Drosophila melanogaster: one gene and its partners. The protein of the gene in region 1 purifies or fractionates together with the protein of each later gene. This does not show direct contact. Each region holds a gene or a part of one and is shown in the gene's direction. Other genes may lie near its edges.

What was found.
Region 2: the proteins of Zwilch (region 1) and Spindly purify together in Drosophila melanogaster (affinity purification with western blotting; one study listed by BioGRID). This does not show direct contact.
Region 3: the proteins of Zwilch (region 1) and cmet purify together in Drosophila melanogaster (affinity purification with mass spectrometry, with the first as the bait; one study listed by BioGRID). This does not show direct contact.

The regions. Positions count from the first base shown.
Region 1 is NT_033777.3:31,210,448-31,215,441, reverse strand, and holds Zwilch (zwilch), read left to right. Parts: upstream 1-2,065; 5' UTR 2,066-2,152; coding exon 2,153-3,259; intron 3,260-3,316; coding exon 3,317-3,812; intron 3,813-3,873; coding exon 3,874-4,128; intron 4,129-4,189; coding exon 4,190-4,257; 3' UTR 4,258-4,476; downstream 4,477-4,994. Other genes in the region: CG15561 (uncharacterized protein), read left to right, coding at 1-634; CG1542 (uncharacterized protein), read right to left, coding at 855-1,628, 1,687-1,770, 1,833-1,898. UniProt on the Drosophila melanogaster protein: Essential component of the mitotic checkpoint, which prevents cells from prematurely exiting mitosis. Required for the assembly of the dynein-dynactin, Mad2 complexes and spindly/CG15415 onto kinetochores.
Region 2 is NT_033779.5:3,526,842-3,532,016, reverse strand, and holds Spindly (spindly), read left to right. Parts: upstream 1-1,699; 5' UTR 1,700-1,730; coding exon 1,731-2,249; intron 2,250-2,313; coding exon 2,314-2,479; intron 2,480-2,545; coding exon 2,546-2,761; intron 2,762-2,819; coding exon 2,820-2,961; intron 2,962-3,101; coding exon 3,102-3,200; intron 3,201-3,260; coding exon 3,261-4,464; 3' UTR 4,465-4,630; downstream 4,631-5,175. Other genes in the region: IFT57 (intraflagellar transport 57), read right to left, coding at 1-763, 818-1,114; CG8852 (uncharacterized protein), read right to left, coding at 4,817-5,175.
Region 3 is NT_033779.5:11,265,993-11,270,762, reverse strand, and holds the start of cmet (CENP-meta), read left to right. Parts: upstream 1-1,760; 5' UTR 1,761-1,916; coding exon 1,917-2,055; intron 2,056-2,130; coding exon 2,131-2,253; intron 2,254-2,310; coding exon 2,311-2,657; intron 2,658-2,710; coding exon 2,711-3,612; intron 3,613-3,716; coding exon 3,717-3,881; intron 3,882-4,205; coding exon 4,206-4,770. Other genes in the region: cana (CENP-ana), read right to left, coding at 1-65, 119-465, 523-645, 721-859.

The DNA.
Region 1 (4,994 bases):
ACTCACAGATGCGGAACTCTTCAAGGCCTGCGGAGGAAGGACTGCGCACAAAGGAGCACGGCATGGCCTAAAGCTGAGCGGAAAGATCGCCCGCCTGGAGCAGCAGGAGCGCGAGATGCTGGAGAAGCTTCAGCGCAAGCTGAAGACTACGCCTGAAACCGAGCATCGAGCAGTGGAGTCAGTTGATGACAGTGTGGAGCAGTGTGATACGAAGGCAAAGAAAAAGAAAAAATCCATAGCGGAGGAGTTTTCCGAGGCATGTGAGGTTTCCCAACTGGAAGAGCCCATAAAATCCAAGAAAAAGAAGAAAGACAAGGCTGAGAAGGCAGGAAAGGAATCCCCAGCACATCAAACTCCAGAAGATCCCGTCAAGATCAAGAGGAAAAAAAATAAGACACGGGAGCCGGGAGAGGAAGACGGTGTGGAAGTCGAAGAGCCAGTGAAGATAAAAAAGAAGAAGGACAAGAGAGCGGATAGGCAAGCAGGGCTTGGAGCAACTGAAGGACTGCCCCAGGATGTTGAAACTGATGAACAAGTAAAGTCAAAAAAGAAGCGAAAAACGGCGGACTCTTCGGAGGAATCGGAAACTAGCACAAAACTAAAAAAGAAACGAAAGAACAAGGAGAACGTGTAATAGTTATAGTCCACTTTAGAATAAACGATGTTAGAAAAATGTAATTTATGAAAATTGCTCATGGAATTCTAAAATTCTATACGGAGTATTCCACATTTCGAAAGTAAGGCTGTGTGCACACAAAATGTTATGTATTTATGGGTCTAAAAAATCTATACAGGATTGGGGGCTTTATAAAACTAGAGTTTGGTCACCTAAATATAGTCGGCAGTCCCGGGGATTACTTTCTGCCCTTGGCCTTAATGCGTCGCGATTTGCCAAGCCGCTTGTTGACCGAAGCACCTGCCTTTACGCCCCGCTGGCGCCTGGAGGACTTGTCGCCATCCAATCCCGCGGAGGAGGACTTTGTGTTCCTCTTGAGGCCCTTCTTCTTGCCGCCGAAGCCGAACTTCTTGTTGCGCTTCTTGCGATTCTCGGCTGACTGCTTCTGCTTGGACTCAAGCGCCTTGGCGTCCTCCAGGAAGTCCAGGTTTTTCAGCTTGCCCTTGCGGAACTTCTTCAGTTTGTCCAGCATGTCCTTCTTCTCGGCTTCGCGTTGGACCTTGGTCTGTTTGGCCAGCATCTTGCCCATCTTGCGCTGCTCGCGGATCTGCTTGATGCGCTCGGATTTCGCCTGTCCTTGCTGTTTGGCCATCAGGTTGGCGCGCACCTTCTGCATGTGCTCGTCGGACTTGGCCATTTCAGCGAAGTAGTCATCGGGTCGACGAGTCTTTATGCCCAGCTCGTGAAGGCGGGGAATGGCCTCCAGAACAGCACTTTGCGCCTGTCGGTGGAAGAGCATCTCCCTCTTGAAGTCATTCAGGACGGGATCCTCCTCGGGCCGAATGTAGGGCAGCTTGGCGTTGCCCTTGAAGAGATTGGCCCGCTTCTGCTCGTGCTTCTCCAGCTGTACAGCGAGTTCCGGCGCCAGTGGAGCTAGTGTGTTGATCATGTCCAGGCGTTCCAGCCAAGGCAGTTGCATCTTGATAGCCTCTGTCTTGGCCAGCAGTTTGGTCTATGTGGGCAGGATTGGATTAGTCGATTCAAAAGCGGGCATCCAGCTAGCTACTTACCACATCGTTCACTTTGTCTCTCTGGCCATTGAATTCCACATTTAGGCCTGGTTTCAAGTCGCCTCGCTCAAATGCCGCTTGCAGCTGCAGGAAAAGAGTGGAGATTTTGGTATACGGGGTGTTCATTTCTTCGGTTCCTCACTTACCTCGGCATCTGAGTTATCCCCTGAGTCGTAGCCCGAGGCACTGTCCTCCATTTCAAAGTCCGACATGTCTGAATTAACTAAATTAAATCTGATCCAAATAAAAGAAAACAATTTCAACACGTGCGGGGATAAGAATTATCGATTGTTGCTGGCCTAAGTCTATCGGCTATCGATGTTGCAGTGTGACCTTCACGCGGCTTACTGCTAAAATTATTGAGGTGCACTAAAAAGCGAAGTGCTGTGTGACCGTTTAACCAATTCTCGCTTCGCTTTTCAAATACTGCCGCTTTTTGTTTCTGTTTTGCGAATTTGCTCCAAAAATGTCGGCTTCTGCGAACTTGGCAAACGTTTACGCGGAGCTAATGCGGCGGTGTGGCGAGTCATACACGATCACCTATGGAGCGCCACCCACCTACTTGGTGAGCATGGTGGGGGCTGCGGAAGCTGGCAAGAAGATTGTGCTGGTCTTTAAGGAGGATCGCAATGGAGCAGTGGCGAGACTCCGGACCACGCCCACCAGGGCAGCCCCAAAAAAAGAGGGCTCTGCGGACTTGGATCTGACGGGAAGTCCTTTGAAGGACGACTGCCTGGTGGACGCCATAGCCGACTTGTCCATCGACCTGCAGCTGGATCACTCGAATCCCTGGAAGCTGGAGGAGGAATATCAACGCGGAATACCCGTGGACAAGGCTAGGTCCATCGTGTGCTCCGAGTTCCTGCAGCTGGCCGAGGGACTCGGATCCGTGTGGTTTTTGTGCGACGGCAGTGATCTCGGGCAGACTCAGTTGCTCCAGTACGAGTTCAACCCTACGCACTTCTCCAGGGGAATACTTAGCTACCAGGGTGTGCGCCCTGCTTACTTAGTAACCTCGCAAGCCCTGGTGCGCCATCATGGCAAGACACCGGATGAAACTCTCATTGAAAATAGCTACCAGGTCAATCCCCACATGAGACTACGCTGCTCCTGGACCTCTAGTGCTGCACTTCCGCTCCTGGTGAACCTGAACGACTGCGATGTGGCTTTGAATCACACTTTTCGCGTGGGCGACTGCGGTCCTTTGACGCAGGACTTTATGAATCAGCTGCGCATTCTGGTCTACATACGCGAGGACATCGTCTCCTACCACACGGATGTCAAGCAGGGCGTCTCTCGGGATCCCACCTATCGTTGTGGCAGTGGCATTGACATGGACGAGCTGCGCGAGTCCATTAATCAGACAATGACAGATGTCTCTGGCCTTATAGGTCGGTATAGCATCAGCAATGCGGAGTTTGACATCGAAGATGTGGTGCAGAGGGCCAAGGTTCGCCAGCTCACGGATCTAACCGATAAGCTTTGGGAGCTGCTCAAGTGCTGCCACTCCTACAAGGATCTCAAAATTGCCTTTAGTATGCTCTTCCAATGTGCTGCACGGTGTAACATAGTAGTAAGTATGCTAATGCATGCAAACCACCACATATTATTCATGTTCCTCACCCCATAGAACACGCCTACTAACAAAAATCGACTTGCCAAGATTATCACCGAGTTGGCCAACCGTCGTCTGGCCATGCCTTGTTTAAGTGGGGCCGAGCCTCTGGAACTGCTTTTGGAAATTGGCCTGGAGAAGTTGTACAAGGACTACGAGTTTATCTACACCGAGAGCAAGATGTGCAGCACCAATCTGTTGAAGGATGACTCCAGCGGAGCGTCGATGGACGATGGTTCTCCCCAGAATCTGCCCCAGCTTCGAAAATCCCTGCACAATGCGGTCAGGGGTGATCCGACCCCTGGAGCTGGAATGCGAAAGACGCTGCTGCATCATCACGGCGCTGTCAATTCGCGGAGTACAAAATATGCCGGTAGCGACGATGATGCTGGGTTCAAAAACAGCCATTTCGACGAGCACGAGAGTACGGAGAGAATCTCAAAGTTGTTTCAGATTCACTGCACCTTAGAGCATCTCCTGATGATGCACATCCACTTAAATCTGGCAAATGGTAAGAAGGACAAAAAGCAGATCCTGGGATTTTTAGCTATAACTCCGTTTTTGACCTACAGTTTACAACGATGTCTGTTCTGAATTGCTGAAGAAACCGCCTAAATTAGTAGAATCCATCGATGATCAGCTAAGTGATGTTATGGACATTCGCCTGTCTGCCCACTATGTGAGGGATCACTTGGATGGCAAGGATCCCTACTCCCGGCACATTACCATGCGTTCGCACAACAAGTTCCGCGAACTAAAGACCACCTTCTATTTCAATTCGGAAAACATTTGTCCGCCGAACTTGGCTCAGTGTTTCCAGTGTGATGGTAAGTTTGCTTTTTGACTTGTTTATTTTCTATAGCTATGGTAATATATTTGACTTCGCAGACAAGGAGATGGTCAAGGAGCGCACATATCATTCCTGGATATATCACAAGATTCGCTCACTTAAGTAAGGCTTGCTTAGTAATACAAAATTGTACATTCTTTAAATTTAAGCATGGCTAAGAATGGTTTAAAATGGCCTTTTTCACATTGTAATAATTTATTTAATGGATATCTAGCAAGAATGTCCCTTAGCTGCATAATGTTTTGAGACACATTTAAAATGTTGAATTTTTTCAAACACTGCTTGTTGTATTATTAAATTAAATGCCTTTTGGTTATAACTTTTCAAACTTTTTTTCTATCGAACCTTTTTGTTCGGAATTTTAATTGTTTGAGCTTGTTGAACACGCTCTTCGACGCGTTTTCGCAAACCTCCAAAAAAGTCAGCAGTGCACACCGAAATCATGTTAAACGAACTCGTACAAGTTTTAAGCCGACCCAGAGGCTATTGCAGCTGCATTGGGAATCTTGAAAACCTGGCCGAAATCCGCTTCCGCCCTGCTCGCACTTTTATCACAGTGTTTTTGCCGGCCATATTCTATACAAAGGTCAGCATGACCAGCATTTGGCCATTCCTCCAGTGAAGTAATGCTGCAAATGAGGCGAAAAGAGTGTGTGCCCAATGGTGACGGCGCCATCGAGCATTCCCGATATGTTACAATCCAATTAGCCGGATGCGCCAGTTGGCCAACTAGAGTACTTGGCCCGTCGCTGATTGATTTGCAGTTTGTCAGACGTGCGTGGAACGCGCAGCGGTTCGGTCGTGTTTTTTCCAGCCCTGTTTTTCCCCTGAAAAGCGAACGGA
Region 2 (5,175 bases), on another chromosome or scaffold:
TCCCATCCGACATGGCCTGTCCGCGTCGCTCCATTTCCTCCTTTTTCAGCTCCTGCTCCATCATGACCTCGTTGAGCTCTGCGGTCTGCTTCTCCATGTCCTCCTGCAACTGATTCTGGGCATATTGGATGGTGGACAGTTCAATGGATAGCTCCTTGAACTGCTGAATCAGTGGCTTGAGCTCATTGTTCAAATGTTTTTCGCGGCTTTCGATCTTTTCCAAGTCGAAAGTGAACTCGCTGTGCAGTTTTTTTAGTTGAGCCTCGGCGGTATCGGAGTTTTCCAATATGTTTGTTTTTAAGGTCTCCATCTGGCTGATGTGGGTCCTCCAGTCCCGGGCGTCTGCTTTGACGAACACTTTCAGTTGGGGCAGGACTCTTTCCAGTTCCAGATGCCACTCCTGATGATCGCTCATGCGAGCATCTAATTCAGGATTTCGTTCATCCAGGTTGACATCTCCATTGGATTTCTTTTGCGGACGATTCAACCAGTTCAGCTGCCGGAAATTGTGCGCCTCCAACTCCATGTCACTATCATCACTTAAGGCGGCTGCATTCTGCTCATCCTCCAGTTTCTCCAATATGATCTCTGCATTGTCCTCCAGATAATCGCCCAGGAACTCCTCCTCCTGGGCGATGTGCAGCTTTTGGTAGCCCACTTGGGCCACTTTGCAGGCTTGTGTGGAGAGAACTTCCAGGACCGACAGGCAGATGGGTCCAGCTCCACGAATCAGCTTATTGGGCTGGAAATCCACTGGGACATCCTACAATGAAAATATTGTAGTATTGTAGTAATACAACTTAGTCCTAGTACTCACAATCTCCCCAAGCAATTTAATGATATTGGCGGCCACAGTGTTTGGATCATCGTACTCCTGTGGCCGCTCCATATCCTTTCCGAGTTTCTTGCATAGCCACCAGCATATTAAAGTAAACATATAGAATTGCTCTCCGGGATTTGTGGCCTTTACGAAATAGAAACGCGACAGCGGTTTTAGTTTGAATTCCTTGAGCAAATGTTTTTCGTAGTTGAGTAACTTCAATTTTTCCAGTAAGTCATCGGATTGAAAGTTTTGTAGCTGCTGGGATTTTTCCTGTTCATCATCTTGCTGCATTTTACAATTTTTATTTGTTGTGTTCCTAAATAAACTAGTGTTAAGTGTGAGCCAGCTGTTTGGAAACAAAATTGTCGCCAAGGTAACGATATGTGTGTAAACACACCGAGCGCATGCGTCCTAGCTTATACCCTTTTATTTCTATTTTATTATACTATTTTTTTTAGTATCAGCTCATTTTTCATTCATTTAATTACTAGAATAAAGAAAAATTTTAATATTGCCTAATATTTAAAAATGCTTTGAATTACCGGAAGAGGGCGGCAACGAGTTGAATGTTAGCATGCGGTTAACATAGCTTGCCGTATAGAAGTTTGCTGTAAAAAGTTGCAAAGGCAAAAGTAATATTCTACTTAGAATAAAAGAAAGATTGTTTAGCTTAAAACTTAAAACTGAGTGAAATTTTAGTCAAAATTTTTAAAAATGCATTTCTCTTCCGGAAGATGGCGCTAACCGTTAATGTAACAACACTGTTAGTCTGCGCTTACCAGCACAAGTCTCCCTGTTATTTGTAATCGATCAACAATGCGAGCAATCCATACCGATTACTTTAGAGTCAAATATCGATTGACGGTTGAAAAATATAAAAAATTGGCGTCTTTTTTATGCAAACCAAATGTACAAAAACTTGGACCTTGACACCCTTAGCGTGGATGACATCGTGGAGGAGTACAAGCTGCTGCACGATCGCCACCAGCAGCTGAAAGACCAGAGCGAAAAGGATGCGCAAAGGATTTATGAGCTAAAAAGGAATCTGGACACTGCCCTCGCCGCCGAATCGTATTTGACCCAGGAACTGGAGCATCTGAGTAGCCAGCCTGTGGCCATCGCGTCTGGAGGGAATGGCCAGGAACTGGAGGAGCTGCGTCGAAAGTTCAAGACCCTGAAAGAGGAACAGGATGTCCTACAGCAAGACTACGACGCCAAGGTGGAGGAGACCAGATCACTGAAAGATAAGCTGACTGCCGCTGAAAAGAATCTGGCGGAAAAGTCCGCCTCCAGGTCAAATCAGCTTCACGATGACTTTTTTGCCCGTTTGAATGCCCTAGAACTCGAAAACTGTGAGCTGTTGCAAAAGCTGGCCGAGTATGAGGACTTGCGCATCGCAAACACTCTGGCGGTGGCTGAAAAAGAGGTAGAAATATTCCTCATAAGTATCTAAACAACTACATCATTTAAATACTATCCTGAATTCCCAGAAAACCATCGAATGTCTGCAAGATCGGGTGAGCTGCATGGAACAGAATCTGAACTGCAAGCGGGATGAACTGGAGGAAAAGCTGCAATTGCTGGAGAGTTGCCAGGAGCAACTGGTGGATGCCAATGCCAAGATAGCACTGCTTACCTCCGCCCCTGAAAACAATGGTAGTTAAGATTAACATGGCACCCTAAAATTTGTTTTAAAAAGGGCTTTATGCACTATTTTTATAGACCGCAAGGGCAACTCTCTGTTCGCTGAGGTGGACGACCAAAGGCAAGCGATGAAGCAGATCCTGGCGGCCCAGAAAAAAAGCTATCTGGATATGAAGAAGATCTTCACGGACAGCCAATTTGAGATCAGACGTCTCAAGCGGGAAAACGTGGCCATGCACACGGAGCTGCAGGCCTGTAGCACAATCTTTTGCAGTGCGGACAAGACCTATCAAAGTGAGTAATCCACATTCATTGGTCTGTAAAGAAGATTAATATAGGAGTATTCCCCCAGATAAGCTGAATGAGCGCATCCGGCAACTGATGACTGCCAACGACAGCCTAGAGCGGCAGCTTAATCTCTCCCAGGAGCGGCTGCGCCAGCTGGCCAGCGAGAAGTCGGTCACCTGGCTGGACTCGATGCTGGATTTCTGCAAGTATGAGTTGCCCCTCTTGGTCGACACCGCGCTGGCATCGCTCGGCAATAAGTTGCTGAGCCTCACCAGCTACGGCCTGTTCTTGCTGACCAGTTAGGTAGCCTCCACACCCCTAATTCCTAAAAATCATCCCAATTTAGACGCGAAACGGACGAGCTGAAGGCGCAGCTGCATAGCATGCGAATCCAGAAGGCCGGACTGGAGGAACGGATGCGATGCGTTCAGCAGGAAATGGCACGGTATATACACTATATTCCTTTTCAAAGCTATATTTATTTTATAATTATTTATATTTTCAGCTGGCGCTTTGAGTCCCTAAAATCCCGCTGTGTGCTCATTGATCGCGAAAATCTGCTGGCGGAGCATAAGATCGTTTTCAAGCCCATGCAGGCCATGGAGTTTAACATCAAGGAGGCGGAACTTAAAACTGCATTGCCCCGCATTGTCAGTGTAGCGGCACAATCTCCATCATCATCAGCTCAACTACATACACATCCAGAAACATCTTTGAAATCGGCTGCGGAAACCACAAGCAAGTCTTTTCCAACTGCAACGGAAATTATTGTTCTTGATGCGCCCTTAAAGCCTGCCATTAAAGAAGAGGTAGTGGAGCCACTTAGCCAAGAATTAAAACCAGCACTAAAAGACACATCCGTAAAAGTCGAACAGGAACTAGAGGTATCCGAAAGCAAGGCTTGTATAAAAAGAACACCTATTAAGACAATTATGGGTATGAAAATAAAACGAGAAATCGACTTAAACTTGGAACAGCAGGACGCGGTTGATATCAAAAAGGAGTTGGAAGCTCCAGAATTAATTCCAAAACCGCAGCTGAAAGGCACTCCAGTCAAAGCCAAAAACGATGGAGTAACACCTCAAATGAATATACAAGAAGATGAAAACGAAGAAACGGGTCTAAATTCCGTGGAAACCCCAGCCAAACCTTTGATGAAGGGTACCCCAGTTAAGCAGCGACTGGGAGGGATAAAGGTGAAGTCCAACGAAGAACTGCTGGGAGCAAGACTGCCTGGTACAGTAACGCCTGCTAAACCGCAGCGCAAAGGAACTCCTGTGAAGCTCATAAAGCTGGAAACGGAAACTGAAGACAGCAGCGATGAGGCGGCCAAGGAATCTCCCATCAAGCAAGATGGGACATTGAGTGTGGAAATTCTGGACAGTCCAACGCCACAAAAACCGCAGCGCAAAGGAACTCCTGTGAGGATTCCCGTCATCAAAGACTCGACCAACGAAAATATCCGCTCTATCCTCAGCAAAAAACGGCAAGTCTTCGCCGAAGATTCGCAAAAGGCTGTGAAGTTTAGCGCGAACGATCCCATTGTTCACAATTTGAGTCCGCTTGAGAGATGTCCAAATGGGGAAACCACCAAGGAAAATGACAAGCCAAAGGAAAGTGAAGACAACCAGGACGTAAAACCCACAATTAAGAAGCCAAACATCATACGGCGTATTGTTGTGAGCTCTCGTAAACCAATTATGAAATGATTGCATGAATTCCAATGGAAATTTTAAATCGAATTTAGACTTATAAAAACTTAACAAATAATAACAACGCAGGGCACAGCAAATCAGGGTGCAGAGACTTTATTCTTTACAAATACACTACGAACTAAAAAAAAACTTAGCAATAAAAACAAATCAACTCTTTATTAATACAGTTGAGCTTACTTAAACTACCCTAGGTGTAACCAGCAGTACCTTTGCTGTTGTGCGACCTTAAACTGTAAAAGAATAATCCATCCAGATTCGTGTTCTCTATTTACGTATTCAAAGACAACTGAAATTTACAAAGCCTAGAAATTATTAAGGAATTAAGTATATCAAAGATGGATTCTACCTAGGATATATCTCTCAGTTCATCCAGTTTTGGCATCTCCTCCACAAACGACAGATGATCGTAGATGGGAGCCGTAGGGCCGGTAGTCACGGCCAGCACCTCATCCGCATCCCCATTCTCATCCGCCTGCTCCTTGATCTCTGCGTACAGTTGATAGGGCAGCTCAGCTGGTAAGGACTCGTAGGTGACATGATGGGTCCTCGAGCAGGTGGATTCTCTGTGACCAGTGCAATTGCAAATCGAGGTACCTCCACTTACAGGAGTCTCGTATCCATCTGGCAATTCGGTTTCCACATCCACTGGGCAACTGGAACCGCCATTAGCAATGGGATAGCGCACTATGTCCACATGATCCACAA
Region 3 (4,770 bases), on another chromosome or scaffold:
AGGCTCAGTACGCTCTGCTTTACGGTGTCGTTATCACTGTGGTCCGACTTTCGGGACTCAATGATCTGTAGAAATAATCTTGCATATTATATGATTAATACAAGAATCTAGCACTCACTATCCTGAAGATGGCGTGCGAACGACTGGACCGCTCGTTCATGTTGGTCTCGCCCACGACGCGCTCCTTGTTGCCCATGTAGAGCTGGCGCAGGAGGTCGTCCTCGCTGGTTACGATGGACTCCTTGCAGTTCACATTCACAATCCCATTGCCGGACTCATGGATCTTGAGGTCCTGATTCTTCTTGTTCAGCAGATCGTAGATCTTCTCGTTGTAGATCTCGATGTAGCCCACGCGCAGCAGAAAGTCCCGCTCCGTCTCACTGGAGATCTGTTGAAAGATCTCCTTGGCGGCTAGCACCATGACGCCCGGATTCTGTTCGTCGCCCATCATGGTGTACGTCTTGCCTGAAATGCATGCCCGGTTTTAGGTATACCGCCGCGTATATATAGCACAGTACCCACCCGACGACGTCTGGCCGTAGGCAAAAATAGTTCCGTTGGAGCCCTGCATGCAGGCGTGCACTATGTGCTTGGCCATCCGGTCGAACACCTCCTGGTTGCTGGCGCCCTCGTCGAACACATAGTCTGCCAAACGGAATGGAATGTAAATGAGATAAAGGTCTTGTAGATCAGGATACGCTCAACGCTCTAACCACTCACCGAAGACATAGGGCTCCGCATGGCTGTCCGCCAACTGGATGGAGCGGCCCTCCTTCACCTGCCAGAGTGAAGTGAGCCCGGGCTCGCAGGGACGCACCTTGATGCAGACCTGGATGGAGCTGGCGTTCTTCGTAGACATCTTTGCGACTTGTGGGAAACGTGTTTGACATGCACAATGAACAGACACAAACAGATTTTAACGTTTTATAAAAGCTAGTTTGATCGACATGTTAGTTTCTCTTTGTAAATTCGAACAAATACCGCTTCGGAAGCGAACCAGATCGAAATACGGAACCAGTAAATAGGCGCGAGCCAGTTCAATTTAAAAGTTTGAGGAGCTTTCGGCGAATATGAAAATATAATCCAATAGGCTTCGAACATAAAACTTTTTCCGAGCTTTTTCGTGATATATAATATAGATTATTATTATCTATATTTCCAAAATAGTAAAGACCGCTAAATTAAATGCTTACTTACAGACAGACAAAAGCTGAGGGGATTGTTTAATGCATACAGAAGAATACTGTCTGATATAAACATGAGATTTCATTGGAATAATAATCCCAGTTGTTCACTATTAAAAAAAATAGGAAAATTGAAAATTTGGAAAATATTATAGTGGTTATATTAGGGAGCTTAGTTATAATTTATTTCAAATATTTGTTTTGGAATCAAATACTTTCCACATTATATGTGTGCTATGAATAGAAGTTATGAATTAGTAGAAAAAATACGAACTTATATGAAATTTAAACCGTAGTTTTCGCATGTATTTAAGAGCTTGTTCTATTTTCTGTTTGACCTTAAAGTATTGAGTCATAGAACTTTGTTAGTTAGCATGCCCTACCAATAAGAACACAACGTCTTAGAATATATATATGCCGTAGCGACCCTTGATCAGGAATGTTAATGCAGCCCTGTGGGATAAGAACATAATGTGTTTCTGTTTTTATTTTTGCAGCCCTATTTGGAACTATGATAACAATCGATGAACCGATTTATCTATCGAGTCGTTAGCGCCACTCGAAGATATCGAAGCATATACATCCCTGATTTTGCAAAGCGGCATTTGTTCGAATTTAACGAGCAACAAAGATGTCGATCAATGTTTGTTTACTGTAAAACATTGAATTTTATGTTTGTTTATGAACTGCGTTCTGTTTATCATAAAGCATTGAGACCAAGAAGGCGCCAAGATGTCTGCGAAGAACGCCAGCTCCATCCAGGTCTGCATCAAGGTGCGTCCCTGCGAGCCCGGGCTCACTTCACTCTGGCAGGTGAAGGAGCGCCGCTCCATCCACTTGGCGGACAGCCATGCGGAGCCCTATGTCTTCGGTGAGTGGTTAGAGCGTTGAGCGTATCCTGATCCACAAGACCTTTATCTCATTTACATTCCATTCCGTTTGGCAGACTATGTGTTCGACGAGGGCGCCAGCAACCAGGAGGTGTTCGACCGGATGGCCAAGCACATAGTGCACGCCTGCATGCAGGGCTTCAACGGAACTATTTTTGCCTACGGCCAGACGTCGTCGGGTGGGTACTGTGCTATATATACGCGGCGGTATACCTAAAACCGGGCATGCATTTCAGGCAAGACGTACACCATGATGGGCGACGAACAGAATCCGGGCGTCATGGTGCTAGCCGCCAAGGAGATCTTTCAACAGATCTCCAGTGAGACGGAGCGGGACTTTCTGCTGCGCGTGGGCTACATCGAGATCTACAACGAGAAGATCTACGATCTGCTGAACAAGAAGAATCAGGACCTCAAGATCCATGAGTCCGGAAATGGGATTGTGAATGTGAACTGCGAGGAGTGCATCATAACCAGCGAGGTTGACCTCCTGCGCCTGCTATGCTTGGGCAATAAGGAGCGCACCGTGGGCGAGACGAACATGAACGAGCGGTCCAGCCGTTCGCATGCCATATTTAAGATAGTAAGTGCAGCCTGCTATTTTCTTTCCGATAATCTGCAACATGTATCCCACAGATCATCGAGTCCCGAAAGTCGGACCACAGCGATGACGACGCAGTGATTCAAAGCGTGTTGAACCTGGTGGATCTGGCTGGGTCAGAGCGGGCGGACCAAACGGGTGCTCGAGGAGCGCGCCTCAAAGAGGGCGGTCATATAAACAAGAGCTTACTTTTTCTCAGTAACGTTATCAAAAGTCTGTCGGAAAACGCGGACAATAGATTTACCAACTACCGCGATTCCAAGCTGACGCGCATTCTGCAGGCTTCTTTGGGCGGCAATGCATTCACATCCATCATTTGCACAATCAAACCATCGATCATGGAAGAGTCGCAGTCTACCCTTAGTTTCGCCACGCGAGCCAAGAAAATTCGCATTAAGCCCCAAGTCAACGAGATGGTATCTGACGCCACAATGATGAAGCGGCTGGAGCGAGAAATAAAGGTGCTTAAGGATAAGCTGGCCGAAGAAGAGCGCAAAAACGAGAACCAGCAAAAGGTAGAGCATCTGGAGAGACAAATAAAACACGACATGCACAAGATAATCTGTGGTCACTCCCTGAGCGACAAGGGTCAGCAGAAGCGTCGCCGTACTTGGTGTCCCACTGCATCGGGATCGCATTTGGAGCTAGCAGAGACCGGCACAACTGAAGATCGAATTGACCAATTTCCAAAGGTCTCACACCTTCCAAAACCAGTGTTTTTTCACACTTCAAATGCAGGCAAACGATGGGACAACATTCCAAAGACCATAAACATTTTGGGTTCCCTGGATATCGGTACCGAGAGCAACTCCATTAGTGAGGAATTTCTCCCGGCAGAATGCATTGATTTTGGCTCCCCTCGCCCAGATGTCCTCAAACCCATGTTGACCATCAGGCAACTGCCAGACCTGCCCCTCACTCCCAAGGGTCCCTTAACGTAAGTACTTCTGCAAGCTTTTTGATCATCCTCCATAACATTCATCACATAACAATCGCATCCACATACCCCGACCCGATCCCTGCACTTATTTGCCTGCACAGAACGGATAAAATCAAGAAGGAAATCCAGGACCTGCAAATGTTCACCAGCTTAGAGAAGCATTTTGAGGTGGAGTGCGAAGAGGTGCAGGGTTTAAAAGAAAAGCTGGCCGAGGTTACAGCACAGCGGGATAATTTAGAGCAAGAATCGTTAGCCGAAAAGGAGCGGTGAGTTAATGAGGTGTTTTCTGTCAAGGAATCTGTCGTCCAAAACATAGTGCCTGCATCGTAAAAAACGATGTAAACGTAACTCGACTTTTGTGCTTTAAGCAGTCAACCCAAAATCTAACATACCTATTCATACAAATCTGTAAAACTAGTGCAGCGATATTCTATTCCATTCTATAAAAACAAAACACTTAAGTATATGTTTCAGTTTTTAACAGTAAATTTTGTTTATAGAACACCACTCCACAATACCTGTTTGTTTGATTTATTTTATTATAGTTTTAGTGTTTAACAATAGTTTACTACTTGTGTATCTTCTTATAGTTATGATGCTCTGGAAAAGGAAGTAACCAGCCTAAGAGCGGATAATGAGGCTGCGAATTCAAAAATCAGCGAATTGGAAGAGAAACTGAGTACTCTAAAGCAGACTATGAGAATAATGGAAGTGGAAAATCAGGTGGCCGTGGGCCTCGAGTTTGAGTTTGAGGCTCACAAGAAATCATCGAAACTTCGCGTGGATGACTTACTCTCTGCCCTTTTAGAAAAGGAGTCGACTATAGAGAGTCTTCAAAAGTCCCTCGACAATTTAACCCGCGATGTCTTACGGAACAGCAAGGAGGGCCACATGCTTTCCATTGCCCCAGAGCAGGAAGACATCGCCGGCGACAGTATATGCAACAAGTGTGAGGAACTGGAGAAGCTGATTGCAGATTTAGAGTCCAAGAAAAATTCATGCGAGTGTGATCAGCTCCGGTTGGAAATCGTCTCTGTTCGCGACAAGTTAGAGAGCGTTGAATCTGCCTTTAACCTGGCAAGCTCGGAGATTATCCAAAAGGCGACTGATTGCGAGCGACTTTCGAAAGAGCTATCCACATCCCAGAATGCCTTT